2 linked regions of the Macaca fascicularis genome follow. The protein of the gene in region 2 purifies or fractionates together with the protein of the main gene of each other region. This does not show direct contact. Links are inferred from orthologs where the notes say so. Each region holds a gene or a part of one and is shown on either strand. Other genes may lie near its edges.

Region 1 (16,977 bases), on a different chromosome or scaffold from region 2:
GGTGAAATACAACGTAATACTAAAATCCTGCTTGCTTCTTTTTCTGTTTTACTGTGGCTGCTGGAACATAGAACCCAAATGGCAGGTGGCTGGCAGATTCTTCTTCCCCACAATCCCGCACTTCCCTCAAAGCCATGGCACCCAGACTGTTACCACAGCCACACAGCGCCATCCCGCCTCACTTCTCTCCCTCCGCCATTCCCTGGGGAACTGCCACCACACCCTCCAGGGGCTCGTGGCACAACTTGCTCCCAATCTTCAAACGTGCCCACTCTTTCCCGCTGGACTTCTGGCATATACTTTCTCATCACCCCTCCTGTCTCTCTGGCTAATGCAATTCCCCTCATCCTTAGGGCCTAACTCAACCCTCCCCTCCTTCCCTGACCCCTGGGTTAGCCCCATGGGCTCTGAGCAGAGCAGCAACCCTGAGTAGTGTCTTCAGTGCATGGTGACCCGTGACTTCCACCAGGAGAGGGACAGCACCCTATGTGCCCTGGCCAGGCACAGCACAGGTATGTGGCACACATGGCAGCTAGGCTGGCTTTACCCTCACTCTCCAGCCATCCTGAGCTTTCCCTGACAGCCCCTTGTTCTCACAGCTGAGACCTGCAGTGTCTGACTAGCAGCCACGGAATTTCTGTGACTATATACATTTACGCTGACACAAATCAAATAGAATTAACCATTTAGTGCCCCAGTCATACAAATCACCTGCAGCAAGTGGCTACCATATTGGGAGGCACAGACTAACATTTCCATCATCACAGAAAATGTGCCCAGCCAGCCTGGTCTAGACCAGCTTCTCCCCTCCCTGGTCTACTGTGCATGGTGCCTCCGGAGGGCAGCTTTTGGAGCCATCTTGATAGGGCATCAGCTTTGCTGACAGCCTCTCACACTGGGGACCCCTCCCCAGGGGCCACGGGTGGGGCTCTGACTCAAGCCAGCCCTCACCTTCCCTTTCCATCTCCTCCTCATACATAGCCACCTCCTCTTCTTCCTCGCCTCCCTCTTCTTCCTCCTCCAGGGTGAAGGACAGGCTGGAGATCTTCCGCTTGGCTTCCTTCTTACGCTCCTTCTCTCGAAGCTTCTCCAGCTTCCTAGCGAGGTGCAGGTGGCCCCATCACACACCATGTCCTTCCCCAACCCTGACCCAGCCCCTTCCTTGACCCAGAACCACCTGTGTGCCCTATGTGGGTCCTGCCCAGCCTAGGCTGGGTCCCCAGTGCCCCAGAGGGGTCCTGCTGTCCTGGATCACTTCAAGCTCATGGGTGAGGGCTCTGTTACAAACAGTAAGCACAGAGGGCCATAGGGGCTGCAGGACAGAGAGGAATGGGGAGAATGCAGGCTGCTCAGGCACCAGATGCAGGGAAAGGACCCACTGCATTTAGAGAGTCAGAAAGAAGCCAAGCCGCCATGGTGAGAAGACGTGAGCGTGGACCCAAGGAGACAGGAGAGAGAAATGCAAATCGCAAGCTAGATGCTACCCCTGTCCCAAGGCAGGAGACAGGGTCTCCCCCCAGGGTGCAAAAAGAGCCTGACCGGCCCCGGGACCCCGTGAGCACTAGCTCCATGTTGAGGGCTGCGGCGAGAGGACCCACATCTGCAGCTCCTTGGACTGCTCCTTCTTGGCCAGCTGCTTCTCCCGCTCCTTCACCAGAGCCTCCTGCTTGGCCTTCATGTCATTCAGGGTCACAAGACCTTTGAAGCAAGGAGGCACAAGGGGCAAGGTAGTCACAGGGCCAGCGGAAGAGTGGCCCAGGGCCCGGGTGAGGGGCACCCGCACCCTGCTCACCCACGGTGCTGGACTTGAGCTCTGCCTCTACCGCGTCGTAGTGCGCAGAGAACTTCTTGTCAATGTTGGATTTCATGATGTTTTCCTGCGGGGAGGGACAGCCACCATGAGAGTCACCCCTCACTGTGGAAAAGGCAGGCTGGTCATCAGGGACCTGGGTTACAGTCCAAATCTGCCCCTGAAGCTTCCAAGACCCAAGCCAAGGGGTATCAGGAGAAGGCAAACAAGAACAGTGGCTGAGGGGCCTGGTCCCTCCCTGAGTGATTTTCCTCCCTCTAGGCCCCCAAATGTCATCAACAGCTTCCCAGGAGGCCTCTCTTTGGCCCCAGCCCCATCCCACTTGGTACCATGTCAAGCCCTCGCTGACCAGCGGCCTCCCAAGGTGGCTGGCAGACAAATACACCTTCTGCTTGCTGGGCACCCCGGCTCACACAGTGTGGCCAGGGAATAAGGACTTGGTATTTCAAGGTTCCTCTGGCCAGGTTTCCCCAGTTCCCCAAGCAGGAGCCTGCTCTTTCCTGGAGCCCTGAGTCCTGATGAGTGAGTCTCCCTAAAAGGATCAAGCTCTTCCACGCTCTTTCCCTGACCACCACCATCACGGGCCACTCACGGGAAGCAGGGGATGAACCGCTGGCGCCCGGGAGGTTCATGCCTGCCTCACAGATGCAAGGGGTTCTGGAAGGAGCCTCCTGGCCAGTGGACTGGCCAGGTCTGACTCAGGCCTCCCCGCGCCTCTCCAGGGGGAGAGGAACCGCCCTGCCCGGTGTCCATAGGACCAGGGCAGAGGCCTGGCTCTGAGGGCCGAGGGGCCAGAGCCAGGGCGCTAGGTGCCCAGGCGAGGCGACGAGAGGCCTGTCCCCGCCGTGCCTCCCAACAGAAACACTGGCTCGGCTCCCTCCTGCCGGAGGTCGGTCACCAGTCAGTGGCCTCAGCCTCGGAGAACGCCCGGCTCAGGGCCCATTTTACTGATGAGACTCGCCGGCTTGCTTCTGTGCTCTGCTGGAAGTCAGCGAGCCAGGGGCCCGCCCCGGCGCGCCGCCCGCGCTCCGAAGCCACCGCCCCAGGGCTTCCAGGGCCGGAGCGTGGCGCGAGGCAGCCAGGGGACCTGGGCAGCGCGCATGCTCCGAGGCTCCCAGCTCGCACCTCCGCGATGCGCTGCTTCATCTGCTCCATCTGCTCGCGCTGCTTCTCCCGCTTCTTCATCAGGTGCATGGCGCGGCCGGCCTCGCTCGCGGCGCCCTTGTATTGAGCCATGGTAGCGGCGGCGGCGGCGACAGCGACAGCAGCCCAGCCGGGTCTCAGCTGCAGCAGCAGCGGCGGCGGCAGCAGAACAGTCAGCTGACGCCCGCGCCGTGACGTCAGCCACCAGGAGACGCACGGATACCCCGCCCCTCCGCGCGCCAGCTGGCCCGGAGCGGAACCGCCGCCCGCCCCGCCCCACCCCGCCCCACCCCGCCGGAGACCGCCCCTTACCCTGCATGGACTCCCATCCCAGCCCCCACCGCCGGCTCCTGTGGACCCCGGAGGCTGAATCCCCCAGCCCCTCGCGCTGCCTCGACGTTAACCCGAGCCAAGGCTGGGCCCCTGGTCCCTCTAATTCCTCCTGTTGACCCCAAGGCTGGTCCCCGTGCTGCCTCCCTGCCTGAGGCCAGGCCCTGGTCCCCCGCATTAAGCCGAAAACTGGCACCCCTGTCCCCCTGCTTCACCCCATCCAAGGCTGGCCCCGGGTCCCCTCTGCCCTCTCAAGCCAGAGGCCAAGACCCCCGCTCCCTCTGCTTTCTCCACGTTGACACCCGCCCCCCACCGCACTCCCCCTGCATTGAGCACTGAGGGCTGCAGTCCTGGTGCCAGCATTAACTCACTGGTAGCCTTACGCTTTAAGTCAGTTTGGCCCCAGCGTGCTCTGGGTGAGGAATTCCCTGACGACTGCCACCTTTTACAGTCCAGAGTGAAGCTAAGCCAGAGCCCCAACCCAGGCAGCCAAAGCCCTGCCAGGTACCCAGCTTTTGGGAGATAACCGTAAAGATCCAGAGGTTCAGGTTTCAACCGTTTTATTGGGAGGTTTTGTTTTCTGTGAAATACACTAGAGGGTGGGGAAGGGGACACATTCACTTTGCAAGATAAGGGTTTCCCACCACTAAAGGAAAGGTACGGGCAGGGCACACTGGGGTTTGGGTCCATTTTCCCACCTCCTTCTGCTTTGCTCACATTTTTCTCTCAGCAAGTACCACAGAACACAAACACAAAGACAAGAAACAAAACAGCAAATCAACCTCCAACGGGGCCACGCCCAAGCCTTCCCCACTGCCCCAGGCTGGGCAAGGGCTGGGAGGGGCTGGGGCAGCTCACTCTACAGCCCCCAGGCCACACGGGAAGGCTGCAGGCTCAGAAAGGGTGGGTCGAAGTTAATAAATTAGAATAAATTAGGGGGGAGGAATGCAACTTTGTGCTGGGAGGGCCCCTTCTCTCCAACACGCCAAGAGTTGGTGGGGGGAGGTGGGGGCATCTCCAAAGGCCACTACAGTGGGGGTAAGAGCGGTGGGGGCAGAAGTCACCTTTTCCTCCCCGTCTTCCCGAACAGAGCAGAAGAATTAGGGGTGGGGGGAAGAGACACACACAAGGAGAGGAACCCTCTTTTCCTAGGATAAGGAAGGGCCAAGAAAGAGGATGCTATCCAACCCCCCATCTCCCAAACCATCGCTAGGGTTAAGGATTTGGTCAGTGGATCAATGAGGTGGGTGATGGGAACGTGGTGGGGGAAGCAGAGGATGCTGGAGCCCTCTAGGAGAACAGACACAGGCTGGGGCAGCAGGGGCTGGGGGCGGCCACAATCACTGCTCAGCTTCTCCAAAGACGTCGTTCTGTTTACGCTTCATGTTCTCAAAGTCAAAGGCCATGCCAGCCATGCGTTTGTAGATGTCTTTGATGTCGTTGCAGGTTGTCTCAAAGTGTGTGGTGGCATCGTAGGAGCAGGAACAGAATACCTGGAAACAGCCAAAGCCCAGCGCCCAGGGTGAGTCAGGCAGGTGCCCTGGGGGGGCAGCCAGGAGCCAGGGCTGGGGCAAACTGCTTACCTGGCTCTCACAACCATCATCAATGGGCTCATACAAGTCACTGATAGCCACAAACCTGAGGGGCAGACAGAGGGGAGGGGACAGGCCTCACAACGGGCCATGCCCTTCCTGGTCCCTAAGCCCAGCTCCTGGGCTCCCTCCCTCTCCCTCTCGGGCTCGGCCCAGCCCCTCACTTCTGGTCAATGGGCTCCAACAGCTCCAGAGCCGGCTCCACCTCCTTTTCAGGGTCCGTGGTCTCCACAGTAGTGCTGGCGATGGCGATGTATTTGCCCTGGGCCGCCACGTTGTGTGCATAGGAGATCATGCACACGTAGATGTCTGGCCACAGGAAGAGCTCCGTCAACTCGGGCCAGAGGCGCTGGCCATACGCAGAGATGAGTTCCAGTGGCTGGACACAAGTCTGGCCCACCTGCCCCCTCCCCAGCCCCGCAAAGCAGGTAGCATCCAAGCCGCCACCCTCCCAGAGGGGAAGAGTCCAGGCCACCCAAACCCTAGGGGTCCAAGTTGTGGTGACTACAACGTGGGTCAAATTTTTTCCAGAGAGGTAAGGCAGGGAGCTCCGACACTGATGGGGAGAGAAAGGGTAACCCCAAAGAGAACACCCTAGAGGAAGTTGTACCAGCACCCGGCCTACCTGACTTCCTGTTGACCTGGTTCTGGGGGATGATTATTTGGCAGGAGTTGGCATCGTTGGTGTTCTTGATGGGGTGGCTAAGGATACAGATAATGCGGATAACCTGGCCAGCCTTCCGCACACGGTCCGGGATGTAGCTGGGGTCACAGATCAGCTGCTTGCAGCGGGCCACCTGAGAAGGCACCAGAAATCCTCGCCCGTCAGATCACTCCCTTAGGTAGTCTTGGGGCTGTGTTCACAGCAAAGGCAGGCAGCTCTGGCAGACAAGGCACTCCTCGGAGCCATCACTACTGCCCCTCCTGAATGCATGGCCCTGCCCTGCAGCTCACAGAGGTGGGCCCTGACCCATAGGCTGGGTGCCCGCCCCCACCTCCCAGATGCCCCGTGATCAAGTACACTTTCTGCACTACAGACATGGCGTGTGGCCTCTGAAATAGCCCCTCACCCACATTCATGGCTCTGAAGACTTCTGAACGCCCAGTTCCCAGCTCCAGGACCCTCGGGGCTGTGCAGCAGGAGACCCGGCAGCACGGTGAAAAGAAGGTGACCAAGCCCTGCCTCAACCATGGTGACTGCACTGCACCAGAAAGGCTCACCTCTCCCTCAGATTTCACGCCCACCACCTTGCCATTCTCCATGATGATGTCATCCACAGGTTTGTTCAGCATATACGTCCCCCCATAGATGGCACTCAATCTGTGGTGAGAACAGCCCTGGTGAAGGCCCCTCCCAGGAGAAACGGGGACCAATTCCACTGTCACCCTTCCTCCACCAAGGTGCAAAAAAGGCTGCCCCAGGCAGGCAGCAGGCAGGAGACGCCGGGATTCATCCCAGCTGTGTCACTGCCGTGAACTCTGGCCCCATCTCAGCGGGCTCTTTCCTCTCAGGAGCTTCTTCTGCCCAGAATACACTGCCAAGGACCAGCAGAAGGGGGCATGAGGGAGCAGTGCTCTGCACCAAGACAGCCTGAAGGACCAGGATGGACTCTCTCAAGATAGGTCACCTCCCAGCGAAGCCCTGACTCAAGGTTCTGGGGCCCTGGGCCCAGTCCTGGTGCTGCCGGGAACTGAGCAAGTCACATTTGTGGAAACTTGGTTCTTCAAGTGTGGAGACTTCTTTTTTTTTTTTTTTTTTTTTTGAGACGGAGTCTCGCTCTGTCGCCCAGGCTGGAGTGCAGTGGCGCGATCTCGGCTCACTGCAAGCTCCGCCTCCCGGGTTCACGCCATTCTCCTGCCTCAGCCTCCCGAGTAGCTGGGACTACAGGCACCCACAACCGCGCCCGGCTAATTTTTTGTATTTTTAGTAGAGACGGGGTTTCACCGTGGTCTCGATCTCCTGACCTTGTGATCCGCCCGCCTCGGCCTCCCAAAGTGCTGGGATTACAGGCGTGAGCCACCGCGCCCGGCAAGTGTGGAGACTTCTGTACTTCAGTGCACTGGGGTTGTGCCCTCATCACCCAAGGATGGAGTGAAGTAAATGAAAATCACGAATTGGAAAGGAGGAAATGCTACCAGGGAAATGCTCAAGGGGGCCATCTCCACTCCTGGCCCTAGTCCTACTCAGCCATGCCAACTGAAAAAACCCACGTCCTCACCTTGCAAAACCCTGGGGCAGCTCGCCCAGGCCGTAGAGCGGGTATAAATATGGGCTCTTGCCATACCGGGCCAGGGACTCACTGTACAACTTGATGCGGTTGATGGTCTCAAGACAGGGCTGGTCCAGGTAGCTGGGGGACAGGGGTTAGGGAAGATGCTCCAGTAGCAGCACCCCTGACTTACCCCCACCCAGGTACCAGGTACCAGGCCAGTCTTCCCACCACCCTGAATGGCCTGGGGAAGATGAGGATCAAATGCAAGGGGGAAATGGAAAGGGTGACAGGTGAGCCTATGGCTGAGTACAAGGAACATGCAGGGCAGGGGGACAACAGGCAGGTGTGGGGAGGGCAGGAGGTGGGCCGGGCGAGGGGGCTGCCGCCACACCAGCTTCCCCTCACTCATCAGTGCGGTAGAGTGCCAGGGCGTGGCCAGTGAAATCGATGACATCCTGGCCCAGATCAAACTTCCGGTAGACATCACGCATGCTGGTAGTCTGGGGGTCAACACCCTCAAAGGTCTTGGGGTCATTCTCATCGAAGTTTGCCACAAACACCAGGAACTTGCGGAAGCGCCGTTTCTCAAACATACCCATCAGATCTAAGGAAGGTGGCGGGAGGAGGTTCTGCACCAACGCAGCACAAAACTCTCCATCTCAGCAGGGCAGGCACCCCCACTCCCAGCCCAGCTGTCCTGTGACCTTAGGTTAACCTCTCCACCCTTTTTAGCCTCAGTTTCCCCACCAGGATGAAGAGGGGATTGGCCTGGATGGACTCTAAGGGCTTTCCTGGCTTGGACACTTGGGGATGTCTTGAGGATCCAGTGGAGCCCCTGCCAAAGGCTCAAGTTTTCTTTGTTGTTGTTGTTTTTTGAGATGGAGTCTTGCTCTATCGCCCAGGCTGGAGTGCAGTGGTATGATCTCGGCTCACCACAACCTCCACCTCCCGGGTTCAAACCATTCTCTTGCCTCAGCCTCCCGAGTAGCTGGGATTACAGGTGTGTGCCACCACACTCAGCTAATTTTTTGTATTTTGAGACAAGACGGGGTTTCACCATGTTGGCCAGGCTGGTCTTGAACTCCTAACCTCGTGATCCACCCGCCTAGGCCTCTCAAAGTGCTGGGATTACAGGCATGAGCCACCGTGCCTGGCCACGCTCAAGTCTTTCAAAAGGAGTCCCGTTCCCCTCCACGTCACATCCCTGCTGCGTGGGGACCTCCCTCTTGGCAGCCAGCCATGCGGCATGACATGGGGCAGAGGGAATACAGAGTGAAGGGCCTCTGGTCCTTCATGGGGGAATGTGACTTTGGACAAAGGGGTGCCTTACTCTGGACAGCCACCCATCCCAAAGACAGTTGGCTTCCCTGCCACCCCATGATTTCTCTGGCTCAGGGGGCCCACACTCACTGGAAGCCAAGGCCTCAGTCTCAGTGGACGGCACTTTGTAGATCTTGCCCCCCTTGTAGACAAAGCTGCCCTCCACCACCTTGAAGTCCAGGTAGCGAGTCACTTCTGTATACAGTAGCATCTTTACCAGCTGCCCTGTGGGGGTGCACAAGGGCAACATCAGCACGGCTCTCTCCAGAGGTTCTAGCTGGTCTGGCTGTGCCTCCTTTGGAGCCTGACTGTCCTTAGGTCTTCCCTATCACCCCCGACCTGCAATACCTCCTTCCTGTCCCTCACCGTTAGCCATGAGGAATTTGGGAATCAGGTCAACGTTCCAGTCTCGGCCTCGGCCCATGGACTCAGGGGGCCCCTCCAGCAACTGAAAACGCTTATACAGCTGTAAGCAGAAGGGAGAGAGAGACACCTCAGGGACCACCTCCTCCTGCTCCAGGCACCTGGAGAGCTACTTCCACCCTGTGCCGCTGTGTGGGAGGTTAACAGGGATGGGCCTGGGCCCAGGCAGCCTCACCTCCTCCAGGGGTGTGATGGAGGAGCTCTCGCCCCCGTAGTAGGGGTTCCGGTCCATGTGCAGCACCTTCTTCCCGTTCACAGACATGATGCCCGACAAGATGCATTCCTGGGGGAGGGCCACACAATCCGCTGCACTCCCACCTTCCTCTGCTCCTACCAGCAGCCCTGATTTGTTCCCCACCCAAACCTGCCTCAGTGGACAGCTCCTTCCATCCACCACCCCCACCGGCTAGTTGCCTCGCCTAAAATTGGGGTGATGGTTTCATCCGACCACACTCTCCATTGCAACCTTGCGGGGTAAAGGAGACCGTCCCCCTCACAAGGCAGACAGTGAAATAACGGAGGCTTTGAGGTAGGCAGGGCATCCAGCAGACACAGGATGGCCTTCCAGTACCAACACGCCGAGAGGCATCTACCTACGCAGAGCCGCACAAAAAGGCGGATAAAACACAATGTGGCACAGAGGGGACCCAGCTGGACTGCGAAAGACACTCCAAAGGGAAGCAAAGAAAGGCTTAGCACAGTCCTTGAAATTGTAGGCCCCACCCTGGACTGCTCTTTCTTCAAAGAGCAGGAGCCCCTGCCGCTGAGGAGGGGCATCTGGGTCTGGACCGAGGGAGAAGAGTCTCTGAGGGGAGTGGGCCAACGGGATTTTCGGGGAAAGGGGGAAGATAAACACCCTCACCAGTCACTGTCACTAGCCCAAGGACAAAGGCTGCAGATGCTACTCAGCCTGAGGTCTCCATGGGCAACCGAGGTGGGGTTGCGGGAATGTGCTTACTGCCCCCACTGCTGCTCCTTCTGGAACATTCCCTGGATCCCCTGGCCCCAGAAGACGACGAGGGGGTGGGCTGAGAGCCCACCCTGGCGAGGCCCCCTGACCCCAGGTCCTTGTACTTCATCCTCACAGGGATTAGCGCAAGATGGGAAGGGACGCTGGGAGGCAACGCTAGGCGGGCGATGGGTGCGGGCGACGGGTGGATGCCGTGATGGGTGGGGGCGATGGGTGGGCGGGGTGGGGGCGATGGGTGGGCGGGGTGGGGGCGATGGGTGGGCGGGGTCGGGGGCAACGGGCCGAGTGGGGGTGCGTTTTCCGGTCCAGAGGGCAGGGGTAGGGAAGATGGGAGAGCGCCGGGGGTCGGACCCGGGTAGGCCAGGGGGCGGCCAGGAAGGGGGCCCCTTCGGGGAGATGGGGTCATGGCAACGAACAGAGGCGACATCGCGGGGGGAGCAGCGGGGTGGGCACGGCGCCGGCTTTTCGGGGAGCCGAGCGCAGAAGATGGCAGTGACCGGAGGATGGGCCGGCGGCCGCATCATCGCGGGGAATGGCGAGGGCACGACGCAGGGCCAAGGGCGCCCGGGGCCGCACTTACGGTGAGGCCGGTCCCCAGCACGATTACATCGTATTCCTCGTCCATGGTCAGGCCTCAGTGGCAGCGCCCGCTCGGCTCCTCCTCCTCCTTCACCACAGCAGTAGCCACCGCCGCCGCCGCCACCGCACTGGACCAAAGATGGCGGAGCGTCGGCCGCCGCCCGACCCCTCCGCCGCGTCAAAGAGTCCCGCCTCTTCCCGCGCCCCGCCGCACCCGGCAGGGGACACCGCCTTCCCGGCTCGCCTCCCGGGAGGGCTGCCAGGGCCCGGGCCACAGCACCAGCGCGGCTCCGCGGGCGACGTTGCTCGCCGAGAGTCCAGAGAGGCTCGGGGCGGGGCGGGCGGGGCGGGCGGGGCGGGCCGGCGGCCGGTGCTGCGGCCCGGGAAGGATCCATGCGCGGGAGCCGGGCGCGCCCCGCCCCGCCCCGCCCCGCGCGCGCCCGCCCCGCCCCCCGGGAGTCTCGGCGCGGCCCCGCGACCGGACGCGCGCCGCTGCGGCAGCCGGGGGCGGCTCCCTCACGACGCGAAGGCTGCCATTGTCACTACGGCCTCCTGAGACGCCGAAGCGCACCGGGACTCGGCCCGACCACCCCTCCCTGACCTAAGCGGTTAGGGCCCAGCTTACTAAAGCCCCTCCCGGTCTCCGGGGATGCCTCCTAGCCTCCCCCTCTCCAGGCTCCATCCTCCCGCATACCTCTGGCGAGCACGCGCCAAAAGCTCAGCGCAGAAATGAGCGACAAGAGGCCCAACGCATGGCGATCCTCGTTTACTTTATTAGGAAGGAAACAACCGAGCACCCCCTGCTCCTGCCAGGCACTTCCGGTGGGAACATGCCAGACAGCCGACGATCGCACCCAGCCCACCTGTGGAGGTGCCTTCCTTCTCAGGCCACAGAAATAAACCCCAGTGTACTGCTTATTGTTAGCACAACATCACCAGAAAACGATAACGACAGCCAAGCAGGACAGTTAAGTAGAACTTCCACACCCCAAACTCAGGGAGCCCTATAACCTTAAGGAGGGAGCATTTGCTACACAAAAACACTATCCACAGCCAGGGATGATGTAGACACAAGAATAAATAAGGAGAAAGGGGACCCTAGAATTCATGTCCCTTACGCCTCACAGCGACTAAGCCTGGAAAGCTGGTTGGTCTAGCATCTACGCAGAATATGTACACCTTGTTGGGAGAGATGGGGGCAGCCCAGGAAAGCTCCTCAGCAGGCTGAAGAGGGAGCAAGATGGGCTGAGGGGAGCTTGGGGTTCATGCTGCGGTAGGAAGAGGGAAGCTCCAGTCCAGTGTGCTGCAGGGTGGGAAAGCAACAACACGGACACTGTCCCACCCTCAATCCCCCACTGGCACAGGGTCAGACGATCTGGGTCAAAGAAATGGTGGGGCCCTTGTGATCATCAAAGCGATCCATGGTCTTGAGACTGAGGATCATGTGCAGGCCGTAGGTGAAGATGAAGAGCATGAACAGGGAGGTCAGCAGCCCCATCCAGATGCCGGGGGAGAAGAAGCTGGCACAGTCACTGGCATAGGAGAACTGCTCCCCCATCACGTTGAAAGCCTGGATCTGGCAGACACACAGACACGGGTCAGAAAGGACCGTTGGGAGGCCCAGCAAGGACTGGGACAAGGGCAGCGCAGGGACAGGACTCCCAAGCCCAAGCCTCTCTTCGTTTCTCAAACACCAGCCTGGGCTCCCCCACCTGAAGCTGGGCCACCCCTGCGCCATACCTGGAAGTCCTGAAGCATCATCTGCCAGGGGGAGGGCTGCGTGCGGGCCACGAGGAGACTGCCCTTCTTGCTCAGGCTGCTGACATACTCGCAGTGGAAGGAGTAGATGCTGGGCCCTGTGACCTGGGAAGCATTGAAGTAGGCAACGGAGCCATTGCTGTGGACTTCGAGGCGCTCCATGGTAAACCAGTGCCGGGCGGACACTGGGTAGAGGCGGTTGGCCAGAATGAACCTGGGGAAGGTGGCAGGGATGTCAGGTGAGCTGGGGAGGCTGGGGCCACACCAGCCTCCCCACACCTCAACCACCCCAGGACTCACTTGAATGTCACTGTGGTACCAAAGAGTCGTTCATAGGTCAGTGAGAGCCTGTGGAGGCAGAGAAAGAGGTGCACCATGAGGCTCTGGGAGGGCCTTTGGCATCTTAGAGGAACAAGTTCCTCAGCTCTGCTCTTACCTAAGCTGCCTTGGGTCCTTGCAGCCACCTGAAGAAGCAGTGACCCCACTTGACAGATAGGAAAACTGAGGATCCAGTCGCATTGCAAGCCCAGAACAGAGCTGGAAGCCAGGACCCAGGTTCCCCTTGCCACCAGCATGGGGGTCCTTCCTCTGGTTCCCCTGAGCTCACTACCTCTCCTTTTACTCCCTCTTAGGGTCACTAAGGTGCCTGGGCTGGGCTTTGGGGGTGAGAGCAAACAGAAGGGCATGGTTGCCCCATAAATGCCTCAGGTAGCTGGCCTGGCATTTGCCCACACAAAGTCCCAGAAGTTTTGCTCAAGGGGGAGGTGTTAACAACCAAGGTCCCAACCAAAGACTCACAAGCATGGGGAGGCAGAAGTCTGAGCAACTCCCCTCCAACAGCACCCCCCGCCATGACACCTCCTACATCCTCACACTGCCCAGACCCCAACCAGACCATGGCCATCCCCACCCCAACACACAGACCTGACCCTGGCTCCCTGCCCCACCTGCAACTCACAGTGGTGGGAAGGTCACCTGTGGTGGCACAGTCCTCCCCAGCCTAGTGCCCTTGCCTGGCAAAGGAGTCATTCCAGAAGGAGCCAGTCAGGTTGAGCTCCTGCACCCCAAAGGTGAGGGGAGTCAGGTCCTCCCACTGGTCCTTGTACGCCACAGAGAAGTTTTGGGCCCAGAACAGGATCCGGGGAGCAGTGTCATTGTAACTCACAGGAGGATGGATCACAGGTGATATTGGCTGTTTTTGTAACAGCTGGCGACCTAGCCCTTCAGCCACCACCGCTACATCACGGGCCACCTGCAGAAACACCCAACCAGCCTTCTTTCAGCAGCCCTGGGAGACTGTCATACTCCAACCCAGCTGTCGTGCCCTCCCTCCTCTCCCGACAGGACACCCTGTCCACTATCTCAAAGTCCCACCAGCCAGAGGAGGCCTTTCCTCCAGAAAGCTTTCCCTGATGGCCCCTAAACCCTGATGACATTCCTAGTCCCTCAAACTTAGGGTCATTTAGACTTAGTGTCCAAGTCTGCCACCCACAAGCCTCAAAGGACGAGATGGAAAGCTGCCCCTGGAATGGGGAGGCAGCACTTGAGTGCTCATCCTAGTCCTCCCCCAGAGTCAGCCCAGGGACAAGCCACTCCAAATAGTCACACCACAGGGGTTCTGTGCCTGATGCTTCCGCTATGCTGGGCCTCCCGGACAGCCTGCCTGTGGCATACACCCCCCACCTCCAGACAGACTCACCACACTGCCTCTCCCTGCATGCCCCAGAGCCCCTGCTGGAAGGGCACATACCCTGGAAGGGCGGACCGCTGTGAGGGCCGCTGTGTACGGGACATCTTCAGACTTGAGTGTGCTCAGGACCTGCCCAATGACCTCATCTGAGGGTCAAAAAGGAGAGCAGAGAGTCAAGTCACCAGGCACCCTGTGTAAAGAAACACTCCCCACCGTCTGCTTTAGAAACCTTCTAGACCATCTGAAAGTGGTGTTATTACTTTCCACTGAGGATCCTTAGGAGCAGCTATTTCTCATCCCACCCCCATTCCTAGCCTCCCCCCTGGACAACTGTGGCTTTGGTCATCAACTTCCTAATGCCAAGCCCTACCTATGTGACACGAGAAAATACATATCAATACAGAAAACTCCACATCCACCCATGAAAGGTTTGTGACTGCCTTTCCATGGGCAATGACTGTTCTTTATTGCAAATAGGTAAGTCCCCAGAATTGTTTTTCCAAATGTCTGCAGTCTTATTAAACCCATAACTCTAGGATTCACGCTGCATGCACAGAAACTGGCTCCATAGCCTCCAGCACAGAGGGCCCCCCCTCTGCCAAGTGGGGTCTGGCTGGACAGGGTCCTCTGCTAAGTGGTCTCTGGCTAGTCCTGGGAGCCAGCATTTCCCTGCTCCACTGTCAGCTGCCCCGAGAAGCAGGAGGGCCACCCTGGGAGTGAGGAGGCTGAGGAGCTGCAGGCCAACTGTCTGTGGTCCCCGCCCAAGGGCTAGGTGAGGATGTGCATCCTCCCTGATTCTACTCACCATTGCCTGTGAGGACTTCCCTGGGTGCCATCAGACCAGAGCTATGGAAGACAAACAGAGCACCAGAGTCCTCAGGCGGCCTGGACCTGTGCTGCCTACTACCCTTCCCCAGCCCCAGCTTCTCCTCCCCACTAGCCCCACACACCAAGCCTGCACACTCTTACCTCAGTGCCCACTCCTGGAAGCCCATCTCACCCCGAGGCTTCTCAGTCACACTCAAGTCCTAGCCACCTGCTCTGTGACAAGGGCCTGGCTAGGTGAGAAAGCTCCCCACCCACAGGGCTCACATCTGCCTCATCTCTGGAGCTAGGCACCAACTCCTGAATCACAGAAGAGGCCCTCCCCACCTCTTCTGGCCACACACGGCACCTTCTAGAAGGGCTGTGAGGGGGTGGGGAGTACTGGCATATTTGGTCGAACGGTGCCACCACATGCCATAGCCCAGGGCCTTGCTGCTCTCTGGACCCCGAGGCTGGTGGCTGGGCCATGTGGGCAGTACCTGGCCGTGTAGGGCAGGTGAATGAGCAGCAGGGCGGGGAGGCTGGCGTTGAGCTTCAGCTCCCGCAGGGTGGCCAAGTCCACATGCAAGGGGCTGGCCCTGAGCTTCTCCTGCAGGTAAGTGGTCAGAGTGCTGACTGCATACCAGTCAACGGCAGGAAGCACCAGGGAGGAGGGGGCCAGGTCCAGGGCATTCTGGTGACAGGGGAGAGGCAAAAGGTGAGTTAGCCAGGGGCCAGTGGGCCTGGGCCAGCCCCCCAAACCTCTCTGGCAGGTTTCCTCTGGCAAGCCATACCCACAAAGGCTCACCAAGAAAATGGCCCACACCCCAGGCCCTGACATTCAGGCCCCAGGCCTTTCTACCCCAAAGCCAGTGTCTCTGCTAAGAGTATGAGGTGGTTTTGTTGTTGTTGTTGTTGTTGTTTGCGGCGGGGGGGGAGGGAGGAGGCATCCCAGAGGAGACTCAGACCCAAGTAACCCTGATATGAGGTAAGAGTACAGTTCTTATGCTGGGAGAAGCACAGAATGTCCCCCATGGCCCCTGGCTGGGAGAGGACTCTTACCTCTAGATTAGAAAAGGCGCTGTCCTGCTTGTTTCCAAACACACCACCATATGCTGTGAAATCCTCAATGCTCAGCTAATAGGGAAACAGGGGAGACATCTGAGGAGGTTTGACAAGGAATGGGGGCCAAGGCAGGGGACAGCCACCTTCCCCGTGCATTCTCAGGGCCAGCAAAGTCTCACTGAGAGTCAGGTTCGGTATAGTGGAGCGCGACTGTGTGTTGGTGGTGGTGGGTGGGAGACTCGTCTCTTCCCTCCAGCACTGTCAAGGCAGGGTGAGAAGACATAGAAGGCAGTCATGGGGGTGGGGAGATCTGTAGGCAGCTGATTTGTGGTAACCTCAGGAGTAGGAGTCAGCTGCCTTACCCGCCCTACAGACAAGAGGAACTGGGGAGGGAACAGGGAAGCTGTGGGGAGGGGGTGGGGCAGCCAAGAGCATTTGCAGCAGGCCTCCCAGCCAGAGAAAATGGGAGTTGGCTATGTCCAGTCTGGACAGGACCGTCACCCCACTTGCTTTTGGTGGAAGGGGAGAGAGGTGAGATCTCAGAACATGCGGAGGAAGCACTAAGTCTTTTGAGCTCTTAGGACCACAGTGGCCCTGACCCCATCCCTTTTTCTATACAACTTACAGATGTCCTTTGTCCTTTCGCTCCTACCCCCTACTCCAATCTCCAGCTTCCTCTGGCCTTTCCCAGTTAGGCCCTGAGGAGATTTTAATCAGCTTCCCTAACCTGTTTGGTATATACACTCGCCCAGTCTCCCCTCCCTTGTGGGCAGGACCTTGCTGCTGTTTGGCCGCCCGGGCTCCCAGTCGGAAAGCCCAGGAGTTGCTGGTGGTTCCTGTGGGCTTTCTTTAATTGAGAAATCACACCACTCCCTGCTCCACATTACCCAAGGCTTTCTTACACATTTAGAACTGCACCTGACCTTCCCCCTCATGGCCTACAAGGTCCTACTTCATTGCCTGGCCACCTGAGAACCATCTCCTACATCTCCTACCCCTTTCTCTCACTCACTGTGCTCCAGTCACACCAGGTCTTCCTTGAGCTTGCCAAGAGCACACCTCGCCCAGGGCCCTTGCATTTGCTGTTCCAGGAATGTCCTTCCCCCAACGGCTCCCTCCCTCCATTAAGATCTCTGCTCAGATATCACCTCCTCACCTCCTCAGTGAGGCCCAGTCTGACCACCCTTATCTAAAACAGCATCCCAGTCACTCTGTCCCCTTAGCCTGTTTCCTTCCCTAAAGACTATAACACTGACATCATATAATATACCAACTTAGTA
Region 2 (12,200 bases):
TCATTCCCGGTGCGGGTACCCCCCCACCTGCAGGGGGAGCCTCAGGGCGGGGGTGGAGGGGGGTGGCCCAGAATTTCCAGGGTCAAGCTCTGCCCCTTGGCAGGGCCCAAGTTTCCCCCGAAATGGACAAGGCTGGAGGTCCTGCCCTTTCCAGGACTGACTGCCATGCCCACAGGCTGGCAGAGGAGCCCCTGCCCCTGTTTAGAGCTCTGCCCAGCCGCTCTAGTCCAAGGGGGAGGGCTCTGAAGGTGGGGGGGTCCCCGCAGCAGCAGTTTGGGGGTTGGAGAGGCTGGGGGCACCAGTGCCCCCTCCCTCCCCAGGGCTGAGGCCTCTGCGGCCAAGGGGCAGGGCTGGGGGTGCACAGGCGTCCGGTCCATTCTGGGCTCACTCCCTGGCCGGCTTCCCCCTTAGAAACTCACCAACGTATAAACCATACTGTGGGAAGATGAGCCAGTGAGCCTAGCCCTGCACACACACAGCCACCCAGCTACCCACCTGGCCACACCCTGGGCTGCCCTCAGTCCTCAAGGGCAAAGGGCATTGGAAGTGTGATGCTGGGGCATCCCTTCCCTGAGTTCTGACTGCTGTGGGCAAGGCCTCACCTGTACAGGTAATAGAAGAAGGAGAGCAGGTAGAAGGCAAGTTTGCACCAGGACTCCTTCTGGCAGTAGTTGAGAATGTCAGCATTCATGATGGAGACCGCATCATACATGACCTCGGAGCCATCTGCAGGACGGTGGAAGTACCTGGGGCAGACAGGGGCTTGAGTGTCTGCCATCAAGGCTCCCACCCCCATCCTGTCCCTGTTCCCCATCTCAGCCTCCCCAAGGCAGCTGCTCCCCTCACCTCCAGAGGTGGTAGAAGAGGAGGGGGATGTTGAGGCCCAGCGTCACCCACTCTGCGGCACACAGAAACATCAGACAGAAGAGGCCGTGGATGGAGTACTCTGGGACCACCAGCTGGGGGAGTGAGGGTGAGAGGTCAGCGGCCTGGTGCTATGACAGACCCAGGCTTCAAGGGCACAGAGAGGAGCTGGGGTTTGGAAGGTGCCCACCCACCATGACCTCTGGAGATTAAAAGGCCTCTGGCTTCCCACTCCCTCCCAAGTAGCAGAGTGGATCAAACAGGCCCAAAGCGGGGGACGGCCTGGTTCTGGGCCACAGACAGTGGGGACAGCGCTGGGCTAGGAGCCTCCTGCCCCCAGCCCTGACACTGACCTTCCTCAGGAGGCAGCAGATGCGTTCGATGTTTTTTAAACGCTCGCGCTGTTGGGGGAAGCAAAAGGCCGCGATGGGGGAGGCGGAGAAGCAGATACTGGAGCAGCTCCCACCGCCCCGCATGTGGCCGCCAGGGGGCGCAAGAGCGGTCTCTGCGGCACTGTCGGCGCGGCCGGGAAGCAGCCGCGCCGTCCCCATGGCGACCGTCACCATGGAGGGGCCTTCACCCGCGTCTCCAAGGCAACGGCCCAGAGCCTGGCAACCGCCGCCCCGCCAGGAGGAACTCAGCCCTGAGCACGCGCCAGGTGTTTGCTGGGGGCGGAGACAGAGAGGAAGGGGGCATGGCCGTAGGCCCCCCACCCCACCCCCGTCTTCCCGTCTCCCACCCCCAGCCTACGACAGATGGAAAGACGGACAGACACACCTCGGCACAGCACATGTATCACTTACTGCCCGCGCAGGGTTCCCCTGGTCGATGGGGTTCTTGAAGTCGGTCCGCAGCTCATCAAAGGCTATGATCTGGGGGAGGGGCGAGTGCCCGTCAGGGTTGGGGCAGCAGTTTATGATCTTCCCCCCAAGCCCTTCTGTGGGATAGGAGTTTACTGAAGAGGACCAGCCAGGTGGAGCTTGTTGCAAAGGTGGAGAAACCGAGGCCCAGGGAGGGGCAGGGCCTGGTCCAAGGTCATCACAACAGTCCAGAAGGGAACCCTAGCGTCTGGATGCCCAGTTCAGGCCCATGTCCACTACACCTCCTTCCGAAACATCCCAAGACATGGCCTCGTGTCTGCCCTACCAGGTCTCAGGCCCTGTGCTGAGCACTGGGGCTCCAGAGGCCTGGGATGCAGCCTCTGCTCGGGAGGAACCCACGCCCAGAGGGATGATCACTCTACGTTCCAGGTGATCAGGGTTTAGGGTACAGGACCTGGAGTGGGTGCTTAACCCTGTGTGGAGGGTGAGGGAGTTCAGGCTCGACTCGGAGTAGGTGTTGGTGAGCAAATGGGGGAAATGCAGTTCAAGCAGAAGGTGCAATGGCAGAGGGGTGAAAGGTCAGGAGACATTCAGGAGGCTGCGGGTTTCATGGGGCTGGCATGACAGCGCGGCGAGCAGGAAGAAAAGAGGGAGTGGTGGAAGAGGAGCTGGAGAGTTCAGCAGAGCCAGACATGGACAACCTGTGAGGCTGGAGCAGGAGGTTGGACTCTAACACAAAAACATTGTGGGGAGGCATGGAAGAGTACACAGCAGCAGAGTGGGGTGGTCAGGCCCATGTCTTAGGATTGGTCCATGTCTCAGGATTGGTGGGGCAGGAACTCCGAGCTCACTGACAGTCACAGCTGAGATCTAAGTGGTGCTCCTGCTGGCAGGTATGTGGATTAATTCATTTAATGCTTACAACCTAATGATTTAGGTACTAGTTTTATTTTCATGTCTATTTTGCAGATGAGGAAGCTGAGACAGGTTAAGTGACTTGTCCAGGGTCACACAGCTGGTTAGTGGATTCTAACCCAGTGTGACTCCAGAGTTAAAATTCCTAACCACTGTGTCATACTCAGGTCAGACCAGCAAGGGGACAGTTTGGAGGGTTAGGGGCAGGGCTGATGGTGGTCTGAGTGAGGAGAGTTGTAGTGGAGACGGAAGGCGTGTATGCGATTCTACAGCTCTTTAGGAGCCAGACTCCAGAGGGTTCAAAGGGCCGAGAAGTGAAGGCAGAAGTCTAAGGTGTCTTCAGGTGTTAGGGTGTCTGGCAGACGGCAGTGTCCTCACGGGTGGAAACTCTCCAGGGGAGCAAGTGTTTGAGGGGATGATGGGATGGGCCTGGGAGGAGCTGACAGGTGACTTGGGGGAAATGGGCTGGCAGAGGAGCCTGCTGGGATCCCCTCCCATCAGCTCCAGCCCTAGGATGAGGCAGCAGGCCCACCACCCCCAGGCATCCCAGAACCCAGACGGCTCAGAGAGAAAGAACATGGGCTTCCTGGAGGGAGCTGGGGCCATCTGGATCACCGCCCCCCCCACCCAGTTCCTCATTGACTGGGCAGCCGCCGCTTGGCACGCACAGCAACAGGGTCCACAGGGAGCAGAAGGGTGCCGTCTGTGCCCCAGAGCTGTCATCACCAGCAGGCGGCAGGCGTCGCGCCTCCCACCCCCCAGGCTGCCTGGTGCTGACTCAGCCCCCCGGAACAAACAATCCCCCACGGTGACAGCTGACACGCATCACTCACCACCAGTGTTGCCTAGGAACCATTGGGGCCTGGGCTGAGGGTCTGGAGTGGGATCTGGGGTCCTGCCCTGTTAAGAGTCTAGTTCTTAGCAGCTGTGGACTGAGGACCACACCTCCTATCCCCTACCACCCAGCAGGCCGCACTAGGCACTCTGATGTGCACAGGTCCACTTCGCCAGTGAGGAACCAGACTCAGGACAAATGACTAGATAAGATCATCCAGTTAAATGGCTGAGTGGACACAGTACCTCACATAGGTGCTCAATCAATATCTGTTGAATGAACAAAGACATTTCTTCAAAGCTTGGGCCTTTCCTCCCAGCCTGGGCACTCCACAAGGGCAAAGTCTGGTTTTATTCATCCTTGACCCCCTCAAAGCCACCCAGAGCCTGATCTTTGGGAAGCATCAATGCAGGTGTGGTGGATGGAAAACTGCTGAGAATCCCCTGAGGACAGGGACCCCACAGGGTCTGTGGGAAGGCCCTGGGTGGGGAAGGCCCCAAAAAGGGGTATCCTGAATTCCAGAAGCCCTTCTCCTAGGAGCTGGTCAGCTCTGCATTCCCCAGCCTGTGGCCTCCAGCTCCCTTCAGCCCTTAGAACCCTAGCCCTCCTGCCCCTACCTCACAGAAATAAAAATAGAGTAACTCGGGGTGGGGGGGAAGGGGGGGGGAAAGACAAAGCAACCAAGACCCAGGGAGACAGCAGAGCCAGGCCAGGGAGTGACAGGGCTGGAGCTGGAGTGTGTGCTGAGGTGCCTGTGGGGGCTCACTCCTCACACAGTATAGGTTCAGTCAGTCTATGGAATCCCGATGGCAAAGAGCAAGGTGGCAGGGGATGGCAAAGGGAGCGCAGGGGGAACCATGGAGCAGGCAGCAGGTCCCAGGAAGAGAAAGGAGAGAGGAAGTGGGGAGCCCGGGGAAAGAAGCAGGTGAGGCACTAGGAGGAAGGAGGGAAGGGTTATGGGAAATGGGATTGAGGGAGGGGTAAGAGGACCCCCGAAAGGGAATGACAATCAGGGAGGTGTGCGCGGGAGGTGTGGGCAGAGAATGCTGAGCTGAGCCGACCAGGGCCAAGCTGGGCAGGCTGTTACAGAGACAGGCACGGGGTTTGGGTGGGGGTGGGGAGGGAGGGCAGTAAAGTGGGGCCAGGGGCCCCCAACAACCAGCTGGAGGCTGATTGATAGTTTTGTAGTGAGGGGAAGGGAGCCAGGCAGAGGAGGCCCTGGAGGAGAGGGGCTGGGAGGGGAGGAGAAGGGAGCCTGGGGGAAGCGATGGGTCGGAAGTAGGATGAGGAATGGACATTTTGAAGAACCAGGTGTGAGGCTAGGCCAGGGTGAGGGACAGGCCAAGGGGTATGTGAGACAAAGGGGAAGGGGGGCAGGAAGAGGAGGGAAGCTGAAAAATGGAGAGGAAACCTGAGGGGCTGGGAAGCTCCCAACAGGAGGGGTAGGGAAACCCAAGGTGAGCCGGTGGTGGGGGCTAGGTCTCTGGGGGCTGATGAGAGCCAAGTGCTGTTTGGTCAGGGAGGGGGCTGGGAAGGCAAAGGGTTAATGGGCTATGAGATCTGTGGGTCCTGTAAACAGATGCAGTTGCCATAGCAACCGGCTCCATCACTCTGGCTGGAAAAACCCACAAAGGGTGGGGGGGCAGCAGACAGACAAACTGCCCGACGGACTAATGGAGGCAGCTGGATGGTTGTGGGGGGGCGGGGGACGTAGAAGAAGGTAAAGGAGCAAAAATTCCAGAATTCCACCCCCCACCTCACGGGCTGCATGGGGCAGAGGACGGGGGCAGAGGAGGGGGTCAGGGACCGACTGACATACAGACAGGCGGGGGCGGCGAAGGAAGGGGGGCCCTGGGAAGAAAGCCGACCATGGGGGGTGTTAATGGGGGCGAAGCCGACAAGCCGACTGCTGGGGGATAGCAAGTTTCCCCGGGGCTCTGAGACCACCCGCCCTGGGTCCCTCCAGCTCCGTGTGGCCCCTGCCCCCCACCCCGCCCCCAGCCCCAGCCCGGCCTTACGTGCCAGATGACAAAGAAGATGAGGGAGGCGCACAGCACCAGGGTGAGCATGTAGCAGAACGCGGCGAAGGTGAACGCCATGGCCCCCGCGCCGGGCGGCGGCCCGGGGGGCGCCAGCGCGGGGCCCGGGCGCAAGGGGACGCCCCCCGGCCCGCGCTTAGGGCCGGCCGGGCATGGCCCGTGGGGCTCGGGGGAGGTGGGCGATGCGGCCGGGACCGGGACCGCGGGGCCGTGGGGGGCGCGGGGCGCGGGCCGGTGGGCTCGGGGGGCGCGTCCGCTGCTGGCTGCCCGGGCCGCGATCGCTCATCCTGCGATCCCTCGCCCGCGGCTCCCTCGCTCTCCAGCCCGCGAAGCCGGCGGGGCGGAGCCGGGGGCGGGGCCGCCGCGCGAGCGGCCTCGGGCGGGGCTGGGTCTCCGCGCGCCCCTCGTCCGCCCGCCCGGTTCGGGCGCCACCCCCAGCCCCGACGAGCCCGCGGCCGTCCCCCTCGGCACCCCGCACCCCTAGGCACTCCAGCCACCGGCACAGCCGCACTCGGCCCCCTCGGGCGGGCGCGCAGGGCAGAGGCTGAAGTGCGAGGCACTTGTCACTGTCGGAGGCGGCAGAAGCACCTGGCTGGGACACACAGCGAAGCGAGGACATGGGCTGAATGGGGGCAGCGGGGTTTTGGGGGGCGCCGAAGGAGGTCGGGCCAGGTGCAGTGGGGGCCCTTTCAGAGGCTGCACGACCCCACACCTCTGCCGTGTCCCCCGTGGGAGTTGGCGGCGGCACACCAGGTATGAGCTGATGGCCGCCCTCTCTCTCCCTGACAGAACGGTGCTGGGCCCTTGGGGACAGACCACAGAAGCACAAGCAGCTTTCCTGGCCCCAGGAAACGGGGTCAAGGGCTTTCACCAGCAGCCTTAAGATGCAGAAACCAAGCCAGGACCCCCGTGCACCCCATCAAGCCCAGGGTTCCAGTTCCATCCCCCCACCCCAAGGCTGGACTTAGACCAGAGACCACACTTGTCCACCACAACTTCCTTGCAAAAACCCTCAGCTCACCCGAGGGCCAATGGAAATTTATTAATTTTTTTGTCCTTTTCCATCTTTCCCCAAGTGGCTTTTCCTTGCAAAATGCCTGACATGACACCAGAGGGGAACCTGGGAGCAGGGGGGCACCCCAAGGGGCAGCCCAGGGACTTAAATACAAGCTGGAGGGCAGGGCACAGGTGGGACAGGCAAGAGACAGCACGAGGGACATGGCTGCTCAGGGAGACCAAAGACTTGCTTTCCTGCAGGAAGCAGCTGTGCCAGAGGGCAGGGGACTAGGATCCTGGGTGCAGAGTGGATGAGCAGAGAGGCCCCCAACCCCGGATGGAACCCATATTCCCCAGAGAAGTAGCGGCAGGGGATGAGGGCCTTCCCTGGTGGGCTCCAGAGACCCAGGGGAGAGTGAGCCAGATGTGCTGCCTCGGGGAAGGGGAGGAGGTGCTAGCAGAAGGTTAAGGCTGGTGCCCAGCCTCTGGCACAGTGGGCCTTCCGCCTCTGCCTGACGTGGGGACAAAGGGGCACACTGGGCAGGCAGCGCACGGGTCTGTCTCTGGAAGGGCAGAGGGCGGCAGGAGCAGACTCCCTCCAGGCTCAAGACACAAGCCCAGTGCGGCTACCCACCCACCCGTCCTAGATATACTCAGACCCCACCGCAGCTGGACGGCTCGAGCTGGGAGTGTGGGAGGGGAAAGGAGGCAGTGGGGAGAGGAAAGGGTGGGCTGCTGGGCCCCTGTGGTCTCCATGCCTGTCCTGAGGTCCAGCCCAGGGCCCTGGATCCCAGGTCCTGGATCCCCTGGCCACTCTCCTGGCCCTGGGCACTGACTGCAGCCAGGGCAGTAGAGGCCGGGGAGACCTCAGCTCTTGGGCAGGAGAGCAGGAAGAAGGGGAAGGAGAGAAACCCAGTGCAGCATACATGGGGGTGGAAGGGAGACCGACAGAAGAGCCCTCGTTCCAAAGAAAGGTGTGTAGGGGGGCATCTTGGAAAGTCACCTAGAGGCAGCAGCAGAGCAGGCCCCTGCCCTGCCTGACCACAGGTCCTGAGTGTCCTCCCTTAGGGACCCTTGACAGAACTGGGGCTCAGGGCAGCAGGCAGATGGGCCAGAGGGAGATGGGGAGCCCAGGACACCCCAAAGCCACAGACTCAAATGCCCCAGGAGAGGGAGAGGGAGGCACCTCCTGCATCCCCCCAGGGACATCATCTGGAGAAGGTGCCCCCTCCTGTCCCACTCCATGTGCCCCTCCTAGCAACAGCCACCGCCAGCCGGCTTTACAGGGGTGCTGTCGATCTTGAGATTGGGCCGCTCGCCCCCGGAGGCTGCTCCGGGCCCCATCCGCTTTTTGATCTCGGCAGCCATGGTCATGAACGCCTGCTCGACATTGGTGGCGTTCTTGGCACTTGTCTCCAAGAAGGGGATGCCCAGAGAGTCCGCAAACTCCTGACAAGGGAGAGGAGAGAAGAGGAGGGGAGAGCAGGGTGAGGGGCAGGAGGGCCCCAGCGCCCCCAGCCCAGGCAGACCCGCCCATCTGCTACCTTGGCTGTGGTGTTGTCCACCACCTTCTTGGTGGTGAGGTCGCTCTTGTTGCCCACCAGGAGCTTATTAACGTTCTCACTGGCGTAGCGGTCAATCTCCTGCAGCCACTGCTTCACGTTGGCATAGGACTCCTAGAGGGGGCCAGGGGCCAAAGTTATTTTGCTCCCAACTGTCACCCCTACCCCAGACCTGGAGAACAAGACCTTCTCTGAGGGGAACAGTACAGCTCTGGGCCCCCTGAGTCCTCGGCTCAGGGATGCAGAGGAAGCCCTCTGCTCCAGGCTGAACCTTCCTCCCTGCCCTCCTCCATCCAAGACCCAGAAGAGCCCCAGCAGCCTGCCAGCTGCCCTAGCACCTCAACAGCTGCTCCAACCCAGGCCTGCCAGCTCTGCTCCCTGCGGCTGTCTCTGCCCGAGACACTTGCAGGCCTAACCACATGTGAGAAGCAAAGAGAGAGTGGAGGGGAGACAGGAACAGAGAGTAACAGGTCTGCAAGAGTTACAGTTCCCACCGTGGCCTGAAAAATCCCTTTAAGGTTTGTAGCCTTGGAACGCAGGAGGTCGAGGGTCCTCTCAGAGGCGGCCCTGGCCCATGGCGAGACAGGACTCCTGGGAACAGCCTAAAATTCATCCTACTTTTGGCACCAACAGCCTTATGACCTGGCTTCAGACTCTTCCAGCAGCTTGCCCCTACCCCACACACAAAGGACAGGACTTTCAGGAAAGTGCTCAAGCTAGTGCCACTTTTCCTCCTTAGGAGCCAGAGGCCTGATGACATCACACTGGCTCAAACTTAGACTGGCTCAAACTCTTGCCATGTTCCAAGTTGGGTCCTGCACTAAGTGCTGGGGACAAAGGGGGAAATCATACCCGAGTCCTGCCCTAACACATTCACGGGACAGCAGAGGAATAGACCAGGCCACACACAAGGGCAAAACAGGTTAGAAGGCAGGGACCGGGGAGCCCCCAGACCACCTCTGCTTGAGGTGGGAGCAACAGCAGGCCTAAGCCTGCAGGTGGGAACTGGCCTTGTGCAGGAGAGGTGCCAGCTGGAGAGCCAGCATGTGCCAGGTCACTGAATGGGAGGGGCATGATGTCTCTGGGGAATGGGAGGAAGTGGAATGTTGCTGGGATGCACTCAATAGGGAGGGGGAAAGCGGAGAGGGGGAAAGGGGAGAGGGGGAAAGGGGAAAGAGGGAAAGGGGAGAGGGGGAAAGGGGAGAGGGGGAAAGGGGAGAGGGGACGGGGGAGGACAGAGCGGGGAATGGGGAGAGGCCAGAGCACAGACTGTCTCAGCCTGGCTAAGTCTTGGACAACCAGGAGCCAGTGGGCGTTTTCTCAGGCCAGAAGCAGCAAGATCACACCTGTGCTCTGGAAAGCTAGTCCTGACAGGAGCCAGAGGCCAGATCAGACCAGCAAGATGCAGACCAACTGGGAATGGTTGGAATAACCCAGGGAAGAGAATGTGCACCAAGCCAGGGATGCACACAGGATTTAGACCACCGCTGCTGAAGGCCTGGCTCAGCCATTTACTGTGTGACCTCAGGTATGTCCCCTGACCACTGTGAGCCTCAGTTTCCTCATTTCTAGAAACAGTACCTCCCAGAAGGGCTGCTGTGAGCATGAAGAGAATGAATGCAGGCTTGTCTCATAACAAGTGCTTACCTGGCAAGAGCTGCTATTATCCTCATGACTGCTATTATCATGAGAAAACAGATTTGAGGAAGATGATGGGGAGAGAACAGAGGGGACTTGAGACTGACTGGATGGGGGAGGGAAGAGTTTTCTGGTCAGCCTGGTAAGAATTGTGTCACAAAGATGGGGATGCAGCTGGGCATGGTGGTGTGCACCTATAGGCTGAGGCAGGAGGATCCCTTAAGCCCAGGAGGTTGAGGTTACAACGAGCTATGATCACACCACTGCACTGCAGTCTGGGTGACAGAGCGAGACCCCACGTTTTAAAATAAAAGTATTAAAAATGTGGATGGAGACGCTGGTTTGGGGAGAGACAGTGAGGCCAGTGCTGGACATCTGAGTTCTGCAGAGACTGCTTGAGGCGGGGGAAAGGGTGTGCTCAAAAGCCAAGAGCCCTCCAAAACTGGCTTTGCCCTTCCTGTGAGACCGGAGGCAAGTTACTTAACACCTCTCCAAGCAAGTTTCCTCATCTGGAAAACACAAACCCCACCATTTAGTTTACTAGAGAAGATCATGAAGATCAGAATTAACACAGACACAAAGTGCCAGCGTAGACACGGACAGAGGAGGGAAGCCACAGCCACAGCTGTTAGATGCAGGAATCACAGAAGACAAGGCAGAAGCAAGCCACAGAGTGGCCCCAGTCATGCACCAGAGTAAGGAGGAGAGTCCAGGGCAGTCGGGAAGCACCAAACACAGGGTGATGGGAGGCAGCACCAGACAAACCAGCAAACAGACACTGACAATAGAGAATCAAGTGCTGCAGGAGACTGAGGAGCTGGGGACGGTACACTTTTCAAGGAGAGAGAAGAGAACAGAGTTCAAAGCCACGAGAGGTCAATCTGCTGAAATGAGGTCACTGGATAGATGGCAGTCAGGTGGGCCCTGGTAACCTGTCTGGGTGGTATGTAGCTTCCCCACAGCTCGTCCAGAGCTGAGGACATCATGAGTCCCTGGTGAGCTAAAGAGCCCGGCTGCTCCTCAGACAGGGACTCTTACCAGCCCACGGCTGATTTAAGCTTCTCCTCATCCCCAGGGCTCGGCCCTGTTAAGCAACAACATTTGGTAGAAAAACACAAAGCAGGTGGAATGAGCCATCCAGGTTTTCTGTCTCTGCCACTGGACTAGCCGAAGGACCCTCGGCAAGTCACCTCACCATCCTGAGCCCAACTCCTCACCTGTGTGATGGGAACATAACACAGACCTCTTCTGAGCATCAGAGATTTGCAATCTGAGGGCTGGGCCAGGTTCTGTAAACTATAAGGTTTCATGGAACCATTTTCGGCTCTTGCTACCACCACTGTCAGTCACATGGGACTAACACTGCTGCTGGAGGCACAGAGCTTCTGGATCTCTGCTTGCATTGGGTCCAGAGCTCAAGCCTCCTCACTTCTTTGTCTAAGGCCCTCTAATTGTCCCCCTGCACTGTGTCTTCACACAGGAAGCCACAGACCCATCATAGCAGCCAACCGCCTGACTAAACTCCCATAACATGCAGGTGCCCAGAAGGTCTACAATAAGGTGGTAAGTTTGGCTTGGCGGGGAGGGAAGGTGTGAGGGCTTGTCCTGCCAGAACCTGCAACAGGGCCTTGGGAGGATCTATTTCTGTGGTTGTTTCCTTCCTTGTGAAATGAGTCCAAGTACAGTCACCTATTTTTTTCTTTTTCCTAGTTAGTTCCCGCAAGCAGACAAGTACAGTCTCTTTTCCAGGAAGCATTAGGAAAGAGAAGATGGAAGGAGGAAAAAGAAGAGTCAAAGACCTAAGGCTAAGGAGGCCAAGCTGAGGATGGCTAGTCCAGGAGTACCTGGTCAGTGACGTCATACACCACGATGATGCCATGAGCCCCCCGGTAGTAGCTGGAAGTGATGGTCCGGAACCGTTCCTGGCCCGCTGTGTCCCACTAGGAGACAGTAGGCAGAGGAGCAGGTCAGCTGGGGTCCAGATTCCCAGAGTCCCTTCCCTCCCAAGGCGGACACCTCTGTACCAGGGATTTTGGGAAGAGCGACACTCACGATCTGAAGTTTGATAGTTTTGCCATCCAGCTCGATGGTTCGGATCTTGAAGTCCACCCCGATGGTGCTGATGTAGCTCTCTGTGTACGTGTCATCCTGGAAGTTCAGGGGCCAGTGAAATGATGGGAGTAAATGAGGTGAGGCCCACTTGGAAAGCCTCCCTCCAGCTTCCAGCCCCAGCAGGGTCTCCTAATCACCAAGCCCCAATTCCCAGCACCCAGCTGGCCAGCCCTGTGTCTTGTTCAGGGCAGATGTGCTGCTGGCAGGTCTTACAGCTTCACCCCTGGTTCCCAGATCTTGCGACTACTGTGCTCTGGGTGGTCCCTTCTCCCCCCAGCTGCCAGTCAGGACCCCTGGTAGATGGTATGGGAGGCTTCTTACTCACAGCAAACCGCAGGAGCAGGCATGACTTGCCCACGCCTGAGTCGCCAATCAAAAGCAGCTTAAACAGGTAGTCACTGGAGAGAGAGGATGGGAA

What was found.
Region 1: the proteins of RAB1B (region 2) and GDI1 purify together in Homo sapiens (affinity purification with mass spectrometry; 3 studies listed by BioGRID and IntAct, counting the BioPlex papers as one, with this or other methods). This does not show direct contact. The link is inferred for Macaca fascicularis from reciprocal best matches to the Homo sapiens genes RAB1B and GDI1.

What each region holds. Positions count from the first base shown.
Region 1 is NC_088395.1:160,431,644-160,448,620, reverse strand, and holds GDI1 (rab GDP dissociation inhibitor alpha), read right to left. Parts: upstream 10,522-16,977; 5' UTR 10,427-10,521; coding exon 10,382-10,426; intron 9,115-10,381; coding exon 9,007-9,114; intron 8,875-9,006; coding exon 8,775-8,874; intron 8,634-8,774; coding exon 8,499-8,633; intron 7,693-8,498; coding exon 7,494-7,692; intron 7,227-7,493; coding exon 7,095-7,226; intron 6,197-7,094; coding exon 6,097-6,196; intron 5,673-6,096; coding exon 5,501-5,672; intron 5,225-5,500; exon of another isoform or gene 5,185-5,224; coding exon 5,040-5,184; intron 4,922-5,039; coding exon 4,867-4,921; intron 4,777-4,866; coding exon 4,624-4,776; 3' UTR 3,827-4,623; downstream 1-3,826. Other genes in the region: protein FAM50A, read right to left, coding at 952-1,097, 1,599-1,698, 1,793-1,877, 2,936-3,046; ATP6AP1 (V-type proton ATPase subunit S1), read right to left, coding at 11,747-11,956, 12,121-12,352, 12,439-12,486, 13,152-13,390, 13,889-13,974, 14,634-14,674, 15,133-15,326, 15,695-15,769. UniProt on the Homo sapiens protein: Regulates the GDP/GTP exchange reaction of most Rab proteins by inhibiting the dissociation of GDP from them, and the subsequent binding of GTP to them. Promotes the dissociation of GDP-bound Rab proteins from the membrane and inhibits their activation.
Region 2 is NC_088388.1:8,108,904-8,121,103, forward strand, and holds the end of RAB1B (ras-related protein Rab-1B), read right to left. Parts: intron 12,181-12,200; coding exon 12,108-12,180; intron 11,819-12,107; coding exon 11,723-11,818; intron 11,611-11,722; coding exon 11,515-11,610; intron 10,180-11,514; exon of another isoform or gene 8,147-10,179; coding exon 8,015-8,146; intron 7,920-8,014; coding exon 7,725-7,919; 3' UTR 6,471-7,724; downstream 1-6,470. Other genes in the region: CNIH2 (protein cornichon homolog 2), read right to left, coding at 408-435, 603-746, 847-959, 1,218-1,265, 1,668-1,736, 5,454-5,534. UniProt on the Homo sapiens protein: The small GTPases Rab are key regulators of intracellular membrane trafficking, from the formation of transport vesicles to their fusion with membranes.